Linked DNA regions of Caenorhabditis elegans. The protein of the gene in region 2 interacts with the protein of the main gene of each other region in a pairwise test. Each region holds a gene or a part of one and is shown on either strand. Other genes may lie near its edges. The genes, in order: F52H2.5 and C03A3.2.

What was found.
Region 1: the proteins of C03A3.2 (region 2) and F52H2.5 interact in a two-hybrid assay, tested with the Caenorhabditis elegans proteins (one large-scale study listed by BioGRID).

What each region holds. Positions count from the first base shown.
Region 1 is NC_003284.9:2,556,338-2,562,461, forward strand, and holds F52H2.5 (Peptidase_M10 domain-containing protein), read right to left. Parts: upstream 3,209-6,124; 5' UTR 3,172-3,208; intron 3,090-3,171; 5' UTR 3,069-3,089; coding exon 2,957-3,068; intron 2,907-2,956; coding exon 2,801-2,906; intron 2,751-2,800; coding exon 2,531-2,750; intron 2,473-2,530; coding exon 2,234-2,472; intron 1,884-2,233; coding exon 1,709-1,883; 3' UTR 1,639-1,708; downstream 1-1,638. Other genes in the region: aat-3 (Large neutral amino acids transporter small subunit 1), read left to right, coding at 554-650, 699-1,029, 1,077-1,138; Delta(24)-sterol reductase homolog dhcr-24, read right to left, coding at 3,782-3,935, 3,981-4,159, 4,203-4,578, 5,677-5,939.
Region 2 is NC_003284.9:11,259,795-11,267,804, forward strand, and holds C03A3.2 (Transmembrane protein 104 homolog), read left to right. Parts: upstream 1-3,053; 5' UTR 3,054-3,116; coding exon 3,117-3,164; intron 3,165-3,220; coding exon 3,221-3,342; intron 3,343-3,652; coding exon 3,653-3,791; intron 3,792-3,837; coding exon 3,838-3,968; intron 3,969-4,309; coding exon 4,310-4,503; intron 4,504-4,563; coding exon 4,564-4,726; intron 4,727-4,813; coding exon 4,814-5,095; intron 5,096-5,143; coding exon 5,144-5,234; intron 5,235-5,276; coding exon 5,277-5,388; intron 5,389-5,898; coding exon 5,899-6,095; 3' UTR 6,096-6,530; downstream 6,531-8,010. Other genes in the region: C03A3.1 (uncharacterized protein), read left to right, coding at 1-187; C03A3.9 (uncharacterized protein), read left to right, coding at 7,217-7,504; C03A3.3 (Metallo-beta-lactamase domain-containing protein), read right to left, coding at 7,597-7,717, 7,799-7,914, 7,960-8,010.

The DNA.
Region 1 (6,124 bases), 8.7 Mb from region 2:
AAAATTTTTTTGTTGAAATTATATTTTTGAGCGCTTTGGAAAAAAGTATGGTCGTTTTTTTCTTTTACAGTGAAACGTTAGCATTTTTCAGGTTCTCTGAATGTTTTTTTCTGAGCTACAAAATGTTTGGCCGATATCGGCAATTGCCGAAGTCGAACCCAAAAATTTTCGGCAACCGGCAACTTGGTTACCGGTTGCCGCACAGCCCTGAGTAGTATAAAAAAGAATCAATGATGTATATAAATAATTAATTTCAACAAATTTTCAATCAATTACGCAAAAACATGCAAAAAGTTGCACGTAACTCGAGGATAATTTAAAAAGCACACTTTTCAAAAATAGTGTAGGTTATCAAAACGTTTGCAATAAGGGAATTTTTTCAATGCAATAAAGATATATGAATTAATTTTTAAAAAAGTGAACACATTTGGGGTCTATATGTACATTTAAAAAACCAATAACCGTTATTAATCCTTTAAGATCAACCAAGACTTACGACTAAGTTTTAGATTAACATATATTAAACAACACAATGCGAACTAAAATAATTCAGATTATTCTACTGCGGAGCTCGTGAAGGACAAATGCCAAATGTATTAACCATGGTGAACAAAACCACAAAAACTCCAATCCCAGCCGTAATTCTCACTGTAAGTTTTGCACATTCTTACTAGTATTGAAGTTTTTTCAAATTACAGGGACTTCTTTCCTTGCTCTACCTTCTTCTCTCCAACAACATTTACTCTCTCATCAACTACATTCAAGTCAGCTACTGGATTGCTATTGGAGGAGCCATCCTTGCGCTCTTCTACTTTAGAAAAACAATGCCAGATGCTCCAAGAGCTGTGAAAGCGCCGATAGTTTTCCCAATCATATTCTTCATTGGGTGCGTGCTTCTTGTGTTGGTCCCAGTTCTTGGAAACCCGAAGGATACTGCAATTGGAATCCTTATTATGCTGTCTGGTGTCCCTGTATACCTTATTTTCATTGCATGGAAAGGAAAACCAAAGTGCATTGACTCGCTCACAGGTAACTATTTCAGTTTTTGGAGTCCATTGATCAATTGGAAATTTCAGATTCCGTCACGATCTTCACGCAAAAGTTGTTCATGGTTGTCGACGCCAACAAAGAGGAATAGTGTCATAAAAACTTGTAGCTCTCAGTTCTCGGCGCTCACAATCCCCAGTTACCACCAATTTAGTTTTCGTTGTTTTCTTTTATTTACTAAAGTTCGAGAAAAACTGATCTCAACTATATTATTTCCCCCCCCCCCCTCCCCCCAATTTTACAGTATTTTGCCGCCGATATAAAAGAATACAATGACAATTCGTACAAGTAGAAATGCGAAAAACCATAATTATTTTGGCATAATAAATATATTCTCACTTCAAACACTTCTACATATTCTGGCTAATAATCGGTTTTCCTGAAAGTTGTTGAATTGCAATTTACAAGGTTTTTACTTATTGTTAGATTTTTTTCCACGGAGTTACAGGTTTTCACAAACAGTAGAATATGTTTAGAACCTAATTTTTAGTTTAAAATCTAAGTTAGATTGTTCTGGAACGTTTTACTTGCTCCAGATGCGGGTGCTCAACGCCTCTTTTTTTCAGACCCCTGGTTAATTAGTTGGAAATTGTTAAAATGGTTTATGTGTCTAAAATTATGTTTTTACATGTGAAAAATAAATTAAAACGTAGTTTTTGGCTCAGCGGCGACGAATGCGGTCATAGTCACAATTGTTGTAAATGGACGATTTTTTGTAGAATAACGATGCTCCATAGACAAATTGAACAAGAAGCGAATCCCAATCCGAATCTTTTGGAACAATGCATTCAAAATTCATATCAACGGAATAGTAGAATCGATTTGTGTAGTAGGAGCTGAAATTTAAATTTATTGAAAATGAGCAAAAATATTTTGAAGGTGGAGTAGCGAAAATTGCCTTTAAAAATGCCTATAATGACCTAAATCTCATACTTAAAAATTCAAAAAAAGTGATAAATTTTATATGAGTTTTTGAAATTCGGAAAAAACTCCGTTTTCCACTTTTTTAAAGCCGTCGATTTGAAAAAAATACCGTTTTTATTATCTACTTACGTGTGTTTCAAAAATTATCAGGGAATCGAACATACGATAGTGCTCTAGTTTTTTCAAAAAGTGGCAAAAACTCAATAATTGCCACTTTTTGAAAAAATCCAATATTTTTCGAAAAGTTTCACTAAAAACTCACTTGTTCAGAAACATGACTGTGTGGAATCCTGCACTGCTTTCGAATTTCAGCGATCTGTCTTTCTCATCATACACAAATGTTGCAACTGGTGGATCTGGGAGCACTTGACCAATAAGGGTTTCAGAAACAATTCGAGCAGAGTGATCATCTAACAAAATGGCCAAGTCAATACGATTTTCTTCATTGAACAACTGGATGACTCCGGACATGATTCCAACATCAGAATGGAAAGCTCCAAACTGGGAAAGTTTTCATTTAAACCAAATGATCAGAATAGTAAGATTTGAAAAAACTCACCATATGCATCATCTCATGAAGAAAATGATTAAGAAGCATTTCAAACGCTGCTTTTTCGTTAGCTGGTAGCTTATCGATATTTGTCTCTTCGGAAAGTTCGTCAATTTTGCTCTTCGGAATGTGGATCTCAGCTCGATTACCATTGGCGAATGCAGTCAGTTTGGCGGGAACCTCGATGTCTTCCACGAAAATCACAATTTTCACACCATCTGGATTGCACCTGAAAAATGAATTCTTAACAGTTTCATCCAAATTCTAATAATAACGTACTCAACTTCTTTGTCAGCTACAACACGTTTGTATTCTAACTTTGAGTGCTCAGTCTGCCCATCGTTTTTTTCTAGGAAATGTTCGATTGCCTGGAGACCATACGTAACTGTAAAAATTAGTCTTAACAGAAAAAAATACATTTGTAAAATAACTCACTGATATTGTCAATTTTCGACATTGTTGTCTCATCAGCAGTTTCTCCAGAGGTACTTGTCACGAACATTCCTTGAACAAAAAGTTTTGGTTTGTCAATTAACCCGTCCGACATTTTTTCAACCCGTAGAAGTGTCTGAAATTTTCTGAATTGACAACTCTGCGAAAACAAAGTAGATATTAATTATTTAACTAAATTGAAATAAAAAGTAACTCACAAATGAGGTTGAAACGAAAAAACAGAGGTACTCGAACACTGTTCAACATTCAAAACAAGAAACGCGCCAAGAAAACTAAATGTGGGTCAGTAACACTTGCGCGTCGGCAGAGAGGGTGGAGGTCCCGATTGTGTGCAGACACGCAGTTATAAAACAAAATGGGGAAAAAAAGTGAAATAACAGTTCAAAAAAAAACTTTTAAAAAAATTTGTTTTTAAATTTATTCTGCATGGTAATGTATTTAGTTAAATTAATTGATTTGTAAACTTATGAAAATGAAGACCAACAAAAATTGTACGCCGTTTCTGAAAATTGAGCCTGTAAAATGATAAAATTTAAGCAGTACAATGAAGTAATTGAGATGAGAAAAACAATCGAGCAATGACTATCAATTCAAAAAAGTGAACTGCGAACAATGTAGAAGTGATTAAGCCTCATTGATATTGTGCAAAAATCACCAAATAGCAGAATAAAAGTTTTGGAAAATTTTTCATGTCTTATCAAAACGTGAAACCTTTTAAACTTTTTTAAAAATGATATTTGGTCATTTTAACATCATAGGATTAATTTTTAATCATTTCTCGCATAGTCCACCTTTAAATAAAAAATTTTAACGCCTTCCACTTCTGCAAATTTTATCGTAAATATCTGGGAACGCATCGATACATTTGCAAGATGCTCTTTTCCAATCATAGAGTGTTCTGTCAAACATTTCAGCGTACTCAGCTCGTGTCATGTAAATGTCGGCATATGTCATTTGGAATCTGAACGATAAATTATTAAAGTGATAATTTATAGGCAAATTTTACCCATTGACTGATCGAACAAACGATTCCAGTCGCCGTGTTGTTCTCTCGTGATGATAACCATCCTTGGATGTTACTCCATACGCTCCAACATCCACGTACATCTTGTGAGTAGCATTTCTCAATTTCATGAGACCTGGTTGGGATTTCAAGTAGAATGGGCACAACCACATTGGATAGATCTGGAAACAATGCTAGAAAATATGGAAAATCTGAAAAACGTACTTCGACTTCTTTGTGAAAAAGATCGATGCACTCTTCCAACTTATCCAGTGGTACAAGCATATCTTGCAAAACATGACTACGATCGTACAGCTTTCTTAAAACGTTTGGAGTTGTTGCCTTTAAAAATGCAATCTTTGGGGGGCACATCCAAGCCATCAAGTAACGAAACAGGACATTGTTTCCGAATGGGACGATGTCTCTGAGCTCCCAGAAAATGCTCTTTGAGTGACGATGGTAGTAGTCACGGAGTGGAATGTACTCAATGGATTCGTGCTTTTTATTGATCAAATCTTCAACGTGAGTGTAGAACCATTTTTTGTACCACCTTCCAATTGGGTTGACGACTTCATCGTGAGTGTCTGGGCCATCAGAAAATCTGAAATTTATTGTGAAAGTTTGAAAATATTTGGGGTGAGAATGCGTCTTATTGCATATAGATTTTTTTTTGAAATTGCGGAAATTTATGTCAATCACTATAATCTTTCATTTGACGATAGTTTCAAAAAGTTTCTCAAATTAACCTAGCCACTTTGAAAACATTCGTTTAAAAAACTAAACAACTTTTTTTGACGATAAACAAAAAACATTTTTTTAAATGAATACTTTTCAAACTTTTATTGTTTTTTGACAAAGTTGCGTTTGTGGTTTTTGCCTTAAATAATAGAATACAGTCCCAATATACCGAATTTTATCCATAAAAAAAACTGAATTATTTTTGAATTCCCGCGTGAATGGGTGACGTCATTTTAGACATTTATGCATTTTCCTGATGTTTTAATTTTTTCAGACATTTTTCCAAAAAGAAAACATGGTAATCCAAAAAGATCCTGCTGAAACTCTAAAATTGGCCTGAAAATCGATAATTTAACTTTTAAAAATATTTTTTTGTTTGGAAAAATATATGACAAACAGCGTTTAAAATTATGAAGCAAAAAAAAATATGAAAAAAAGAAGCTAAAACCTATTACTTATTAAAACAGCCGGAAAACACAAAAATGTCAAAAATGACGTCACTCATATGCGCGAGAATCCAAAAAAAAATTTAGCCCTTCTTATGTTTATTTCAAAATTTAAAAAAATCATAAAAAATTTAGAAAAATTTTATAAACTACTTTACAGTTTTTTTTCGATATATTGAAATTTGATTGAAATTATTATATTATAAATTAAGAAATTATTATGCAATTGATAATTATTATATTAAAAATTGAAATTGTATTCTTTCATTTAGGACAGAAAACTCATAGACTAAAACTAACAGATTAAAACTCCCAGACTGAGATCGGGGAGAAGCCTCAAAAAACTAGGTCCGAGCTAGAAAACCTGGGGTAGACAAATTTTTTTGAAAGTAACGTAGCTAATAACATATATTCCCACAATTTCAAAAAAAAAATCGGGTATACAACGAAAAAAGCTATGAGCTTTGACTCAAGGCTTATTGCCGCCGCTAATAAAAATAAAAAATGTATCTTACTCTCCAAGCATTATACATCCTTTTTCTTTGTTGAACATCAGTGCTTCTACGAAATCGACATTCTCCGAGTTTCTATCACTATCCTCGGTTAGCTGCTCGCACATTTCACTCAAAGTCTCAGTCTTCTTGTACGTGAGTTTTACATATTTCTTGCAGGGAATGATTTTAATCGTTGCGGCCACCAAGAAGCAAATGGTTCCTTGACTCCAGGGAATTGCAAAGAACAAAGAATTATCCTGTTTCGCCTGCTCCGTCTTTGCCGCCTGCAATTTTAATCAACTGAAGAAGGCCTTCCAGGATTTGCCGGACATTGAAACTACTAGAAATCAACTACAATCACTAGCACTTCTGAACAAATGTAAGTTTGGAACTTTTCAAAAAATCAAATAGAATATTAGAGAAACTCAACAAATCAGTTACAACAAGAAGAAAAAAAAACATCCGACAA
Region 2 (8,010 bases):
TTTGCTGAACATATACGGTCACTGGATTCTGACAGTGTACTCTGCAAATCATATCACAGCTTTTATGCTAAGCGGATTCTTCACCTCATTCCTCTTCTCAGCGTTCCACAGAATCCATAAAATCTATTTTGGAACCGAATCAGAGGAAGAAGTATATGAGGAAGCAAATGATAAGAAGGATGACTGAGAAAGTCACTTGGACGTCATTTAAGTTCTACAACAACAGAAATTTAAAAAAAAAACTCACAAAATTAATCATCTCCTTGTTACTGTCTCCACTTTTGTTTCTTACGATAAATATAATTCTCATTTTTCCTACTCTATCAACTTGTTAATCCAATTTTCTACTCCCCCAATGCCTCAATTGTGTCACTTTTTCTTTTACTGCAAATGTATCGGCTGCTTGTAAAATTTTGTTTACTAATCAAATTATTTAATTTTTTTAAAAAATATTCTATAATATTATTCAGAATTAAACATTTATAATAATTGGAAAATCGACTCGTTTTTTTGCACGTTTTTTGCACATTTTTTTGCACATTTTTTTTTCAAAAATGATGGAAAATGGCTAGAAAAGCTAGGAAGGCTAGCAAGGTGTTGTGTACCGAAGGCGGAACAAGTAGAGAAGACGAGTCGCTCTAACTTTATAAATTAATCTGTCACTCTAACTTTTAAAATTAATCTGTCGTTCTAACTTGTTAAATTAATATGTCGTTCTAACTTTATAAATTAATCTGTCACTCTAAATTTTTAAATTAATCTTTTTTTTTTTTTTTTTTTTTTTTTAGTTTTAAATTTTAAAAAAATTTGACTCCTAACTTTTTATATTTTTATTGTTTTATTGAAGTTCTTGTCATGGTGCATCGAATGTGATATGAGTTTGAAGAAATATTCAAAATGTTTCCAGCTGATTGGAGAAACTTTTCTCTATTTCTCTGTCGAGGAAGACAAGTTAAGTCTAAACGGTCTAGTTAAAAGTCTAAATTGGTCTTCAGAAAAGGGAATTTGTTCGCAGCGTAAACTTAAGTATGTCATTGGTTATTAAGTATGCGGGTGAATAGGCTCACGTGGTCTTCTCTTTGTATTCTCTCAATACAATGATCGAGTTTCAAATATATTTCCTTCTGAAAAGTATAAACTTTTGGCAGCATCAAATTTCAATGCTTTATTGAAATTCCATCATTTATGTTGAGAAGGAAATTTAGTGAGGTGTTTTTTCAACCAATTTTTACCAAAAAAACCAATATTAAACTTTGTATTTTGAAGTTTTCTGTAATTTTTTTTTCTTTTCGACATTTTATTACGTAGGTGAATACCAATTTTAATTCAACTGAAATTTCGAGAAATTCTTTTTAAGTGAACTAATTTTGAAATTATTTAAAATCACTACTTTGGTGCCAAAGTGGCTAAATATCTTGTGAGCAAATTTTATTTTTCCCTAACTTCGACTGAAATTTTCAAAATACCTTAAACATGTTTTTTTTAACATTCAAAATTATAGTTTGTTGTAGAGTAAAAGAAATTAGTTTTTCAACAAGTACAAAAACGACCGTGTATTCAAAAAAGTTATGATTGTTAATTAGCAGATTACCAGAAACTAGAAAAGAACACATACAGAGAAATAACATACATTTTGAACAATAATTTCTTTAAGAGATCTCACCGAAACAACTAAACATGAAAGTTAATCTAAGTAATCCTTTTTCTGTTTATTTCATATAAACAGCCAAACTCAAACACATTATCCTATTGCAAACTACTCACAATATTCAGAGCGCATTACATTTTGCTTTTCATAACACTCTCGACTTAACGCCTTTCATTTTGTCGCCTTTCCACTCCTCGACGCCCTTCCTCCTCTCCAAACACCTCGATTATTTTGAAATGGAAGCTTTTATTGACCTTTGAATCAATAAGACTTTCTCAACAGGGCAAACATAATTTTTTCTCTTTTTTCCCTCATCTTTCTATCATAGTGCTTGTGGTGGACGCGACCCTATGTCTTACAACCAGCTTTAGTAATGTTTTGACATTTGATTTTTGAACAACACTGACCAAATCCGATGGCGAAATACATTAGGTCGTTAGTAATCAAATCAAAATTTTACCTCTTTCTCACTTATTTTATCAGTTAGTGTGGTTTTCAGTTGTATAACAAACATTGTTTTCATGCGGTATGTATGGAGATCAATGGTTTTATCAGCAATTTGGCAAATATAGTTGTGTCTGTTCAAAAAATATATATTCAGACCAAGTTTGCTTACTGAAAACATGTTAGTTTGCAGAACGTTTTTTAAAATTTTGTGTTTTTAGAAGAATTTTTGTGATATAATCAGTTTCTTAGAAATAATAAGTTTTTGCAGTGCAAAAACATTTAAAAAAATATCGATTTTGAGGATTTTGAACTGAAACACTTAAACTAAAACAAAAATTAACAATGTCTATTTTTTTTAACAGATACTTTGCAAGAAAATGTATTTTAAATCAATCTTTCAAATATGTTACTTCTGTATTGAAGTTTTTTCCCCGTATTCCTCTCATTATATTACACTCTCACTCCAAATTCCTCTTTGACCTTTTCCCTTTCGATTTCTTCCTCATAAAATGTTTCCATTTTCATGGCCAGGGGCAAAAGCATTCGGTTTCCCCTACCACACACAGCTCTCTCATCCCACAATTTCTTTCCAACTGAATGAATAATTGGAGTGCGTTAGAGCGCGGTTGCAAAGACAGCTGAAAGGAAAGGGGAATGCCCGCGAAACGACGTGGCCCTTTCACTGTTGTAAACAGACTTCATTCATTTCTCCCTCGCGTGTTTTTTTTTGCGTTGCCCTCTTCCCGTCTCTCTACGCTTTGCGACATCTCTTTTTCTTTTCCATATTAAGCAAGTTTAGTTGATCGCTGCTTTTCGATAACACCATTCAAATGTTTTTTTTTATTTTCCAAAGATCGTTTTTGATGTTATTTCTTTTCATTTAAAAGTTGCCATTTGAAATTAGTTTTTCCCATTGTTCTATTCAGAAAGCAAACATCTAATATTTAACAATTTTCAGGTCGGTGCATGTAGCGATAACGTGATAAGACAACCATCGTTTCTGCTTCATTTGTTCGTCAAAATGCAGAGTAACACAGATTCCAGCACCAGTGGCACTTACAGCCAAACGGTGAGTCATACAATACTGTTTTCTTTTTCTTTTCAAAATAATCAATACATTTATAGGTCGGATTGCTCTATGTATTTAATTTGATTGTCGGAACTGGTGCATTGGCTCTCCCCAAAGCATTTCAAACAGCTGGATGGCTCCTCAGTATCACTCTTCTTACATTTTCCGCGTTCATGAGGTGTGTTCATCAGATAAAGAAAACAAAGATAGTGTTGATAAACAAGATATTTTGTTTAGAAAACAACAGTTTTATGTAAGAAAAACAAAATACATGTTTCAAAAACAAGACGAAATACAATTTTAAAAAAAAATTTAGAATAAAAATACGAGCATTGTCAATAATAAATTATTCATACTTTATAAAAAATTTGCATTAGAATTGAAAAATTCAACGAAAGAGGAGCATATTTTCCCAATCGTTATGTAAGATTTTTGATATCGAAGTAGTAAATACTTACCAAATTATTTTGAATTTTCTAATATTTCAGTTATGTTGCTGCAACATTTGTCATCGAAGCACTTTCCGTTGCCAATGCAGTTCTCTCTAAGAAACGACGTGTTGAATATGATGATGTCGTTGTGGCCGATGGACCATCCACTTTTGAAATTTCAAAGAAGGTTGAAGTGGTAAGTTTTGCAAAATAAATTTAAAATTAGCAGAAACTTTATGCAGAGTGAGATGGCGTCAATGTTCTTGTCAAAAGTTTCGCTTGTGTTCTCCTACTTTGCCATCATTATCTACTTGTTCGGTGATCTTGCAATTTACTCAACTACAGTTCCAAAATCTGCAATGAATATCGTTTGGTAAGCACATTGGTACTAGCTCCTGTCACTGGGAAAACAGCAATATTTTCAAAAATATGTTTTAGATCTAGCTGGTTCACTGCATTAGCTTCATCTGTTTGACTGAACAGTTTCATAAAATTTATAACGACATAAAGCTTGGGCAAGAAGTTCAATACTTATTGCGTATAATAATGATAATATATGTCGTAAGAAACTTGTCAATTAAAAAAATAACATCTTAGATAATGGCGTTCATAGGAAACATATATTTTGTTTCTTTTTAATTTTATAATGCTCATTTTGCTGTCTGTTTCACCAAACACTACACCCCTAGAATCAAATAAAAATAGAAATTTCAGTGCCACGATCAACGCTTCTACAGTTAAATCTAGTGATCCTTGCCACGAATCTTGGCCAGAAATATTGACAAGAATGACAGTGTATCGCTTTTTTGTGATAATTTTTGTTGTCGTCGTGTGCCTTCCGATGGTTATCGCTGGAATCACTAAAACTCGTCACATTCAAATTATGACAACGCTTTCAAGATGGGCGGGTGAGTTAATCACATCCATACAATATAACATTTATATTTATAATTTGAAAACAATTTCAGCGTTTATTCTCATGATTTCCCTAGCAACAATGCAACTCTCTAGCGACGGAGCTGCTGCTCATCCGCCTGCGTACAACTTCCACGGATTTGGATCACTTTTTGGATGTGCCGTATATGCTTTCATGTGTCATCACAGTATTCCGTCTCTTATCACTCCAATGAGGTAAGCAAATAATTTTTTCTCTAAAAATTAACTTACTAGTTAGAAAAACAACAATTAGAAACAATCACATTAACTTCGTCCTTTCAGAACCAAGGATAACGTTTTCGGCAAGATTGCACTTGTGTATGGAGTTGTTGGGGTATTCTACTTCACTCTTTCCCTTACTGGAGCTTTTGCTTTCGAGCATGTTCAAGATATCTACACTCTCAACTTTTTCCATGATGGCAACACATCATTTATCTACTCTATCATTGACTACTTCCTTGCCCTATTCCCAATCATCACTCTCACTTCAAGCTACCCTATTATTGCACTCACATTGATCAATAATTTTAATGTGGTCAAAGACATTTTGTGTCCGAAAGTTGGGTGAGTTGATAATATTGCAACATTTGACATTATCAGTTTGGTTTACAGGCAAGAGAACGAGTCCCTACTCGAGGCGGACAGTTTGGTTGAAGATAACGATACTGATGATGAGCGAGAAGCAAGAAACGCTAGAAATGAGGTTGGAAAAGAGAATGGGATCAAATTATTCGTTTTATTTCAGAAATCGGTATTCGATGTGTTGGTTCCGGCTCTTGTGTTGGCACTTCCTACTTTTTTGAGTTTGCTCACAGACGATATGTTGCTCCTTGCTTCTATTACCGGAAGTTTCCCAGGTAGGATATTATATCATGATACTAATCAATTCCAAATATTTTGTGATTCTGAGTTAGCATAATGCTATCATTTCTAATTGAAGAAAAAGCCAATTATAAATTTCATGAAAAATGTAGTTCATATTTCAATACTTACTGAAACATAAAAACATAAATAAATAAAAATCTGTTACCACCAAAAAATGAGACGGTAATTAAAAATCAGTCACTGGCGAATTTTCGAGCTCGAAATGTACTATTTGTCCCAAACGTTTTTGTTTCAATTCTGTGCGTTTTGGATTTTTGACACCACATCGTAACTGTTTAAACGGCTACCCATTCCCGAAAATCCTCTTTTAACAGCAAAAAATTTGATTGAATCCAGCCCTTACATTTTTCTTTCAAATCTCATAAATGTGTAGTAGATAGGTACATATTTAGGGGACGAAGCATAATGATTATTGTTATACTTTTTGTTGTTGAATAACAATGTTCTGTGAGCTTTTCAAGTACTAAATACAATATTTACAGGTGTCGCTGTTCAATTTGCAATTCCTTGCCTTCTCGTCACTGCTGCTCGCAAACATGCCAGATCTGTGCTTAACTTCCCGGTACCTCGCAAAAACAATAGTCCATTCCAAAGCCCTATTTGGATTGTGCTAATCTCCTCCTGGGCCGGATTCTCCATGATTATGGTCCTCCTGAATCTTGTTGGAGTCAAGTTCTGATTCCATTTTTATACATACTGACTCTCGTTTTATGCACCCTTTTATCAATTTTCAACATTACGGATATACTTGCTTAGTGTTTTCTAGTCGCATTACCCACCCATACCCCTTTGCATTTATTTCTTTTACTCACCTTAACTCATCCGTACTTTGCCACTGGTCATCTTTCATTTCAGCGCCCAAAACAATTAACATTTCATTTCTTTCTCAGACACTCGCAATGCCCTCTAAATTGTGCAATTTCCCAACATTCAAAAATCAAACGTTTTGCATTTAATAACTTAAAAACCAACATTTGCTGTTCGTGCCGCCTAGAACCTAGTCAAGTCACACCATCCTTTCCCGCGTTTATTTTTACTTCAATTTCCGGTCAATTTCACTAAACTGATGTTTTATGTGATGAAAGTGTTACTTATTAAAGGATAACTTTTTTTTAAACAGAAATGTGTATTCAGAAACAGTTTTTTTTCTATTTAATGAGTAAGGTAAAATATCAATTTTGAACCAGAGTTTGGGAAGTGTTTAGTATATGAAACAGTTTGTGATTTACTTTTTTAAAAAATATATTAAATCGGCTTAGGACACAATTGATAAATATATTTTGTCTACAACGCATATTTGTGTACAAAATGTAGTCCGAAACTTTTCTGATTGGCTATGTTTCAATGTCCCATTTTAATCTTCATGTGAACAATTTTCGAACTCATTTTTTCCTTAAATTTTAGGCGTCAAAAACATCACTGTTGAGCCGTAATATACAGACTAATTAATTTTTTTAGCCATCAACATTAGGGGTCCAGCTACGTGCTATGAAATATCAACAAGAATGGATGATTTTAATCTACATAAGTTGCGTTTTGAGATGTTCAATTCTATGGAACTCAATTTTTTTTTGGTTTTCAAACAAAATTTAGCATTTGAATTATTTTTTAGCATTTTTATCATTCAAAAACATAAACATATGTAACAAACTATGAATTTGAATGGTTTCTTGGTCGTCAATTTCATATTGTCAGAATTTCCGCGCGGCTTCTTCAGTTTCTTTCATCGCTTCTCTGATATCAGCTGGTCTTCTGCTTCTCTCCTCTTTTCACAGACACAGAAATCGGATAGGAGAGAATATGGAATCTGCCTGCGCTCAGACCGGATTGAACATTTCGAATCAAGGTCAAACTATGAATGAAGCATCGGACATTCTCAGTTCTCTATTCCTCTATTTTACGCCTTTATCCGCCATGTTCACCGAGCTTTGCACCATATTCGCTACCGTTGAGTTATTATGTTTGATGTATCGACAACTAGACAATTTGAACAATTCGGAATTACAAAAAGACGATGACGGACTAGTTCTGCATAAGAAATATTACCAAGTGGATCGGCAGTCTTCTCCGTTTTGGAATAATCTTTGAATTCGAAATAAGATCGTGATGAAAAGTATGAATATATTTTATTGAACGTCAAAACAAAAAACACATTATTTTACTCAACAATACCATACATATTAATGCACTTGAGTGGCTTTTTCTCTAGCTTCAATCAACTTTCTGACAATGTTTCGTCCAATCACAATCTTCATACTTTTATCTCTTGTTTCGTAACGAACTCCTTCCGCCTCATCAATTCTGAACTGATTAACTGTTTTTTATAGTCAAACTATGTTTAAAGTTTTTTGAAATGAATAAATATTTTTTTCAATTTTGTACCTTAAATGTGTTCCAACATGTGTTCCTGCAATAACAGCCAATAAGAACCTATGATAAAGCTTGAACGTTGGGAGGCAGTTATTATCGGTGTCGTTTTTTGATGCAGAATATCGTACCTGAACAAATCTAAAACATATTCGGCAAAAGTACCCCCAGCTCACCTCAACATCTTGACTTTTCACAAACTTCAAAATACTTCTGACTGAATTTTC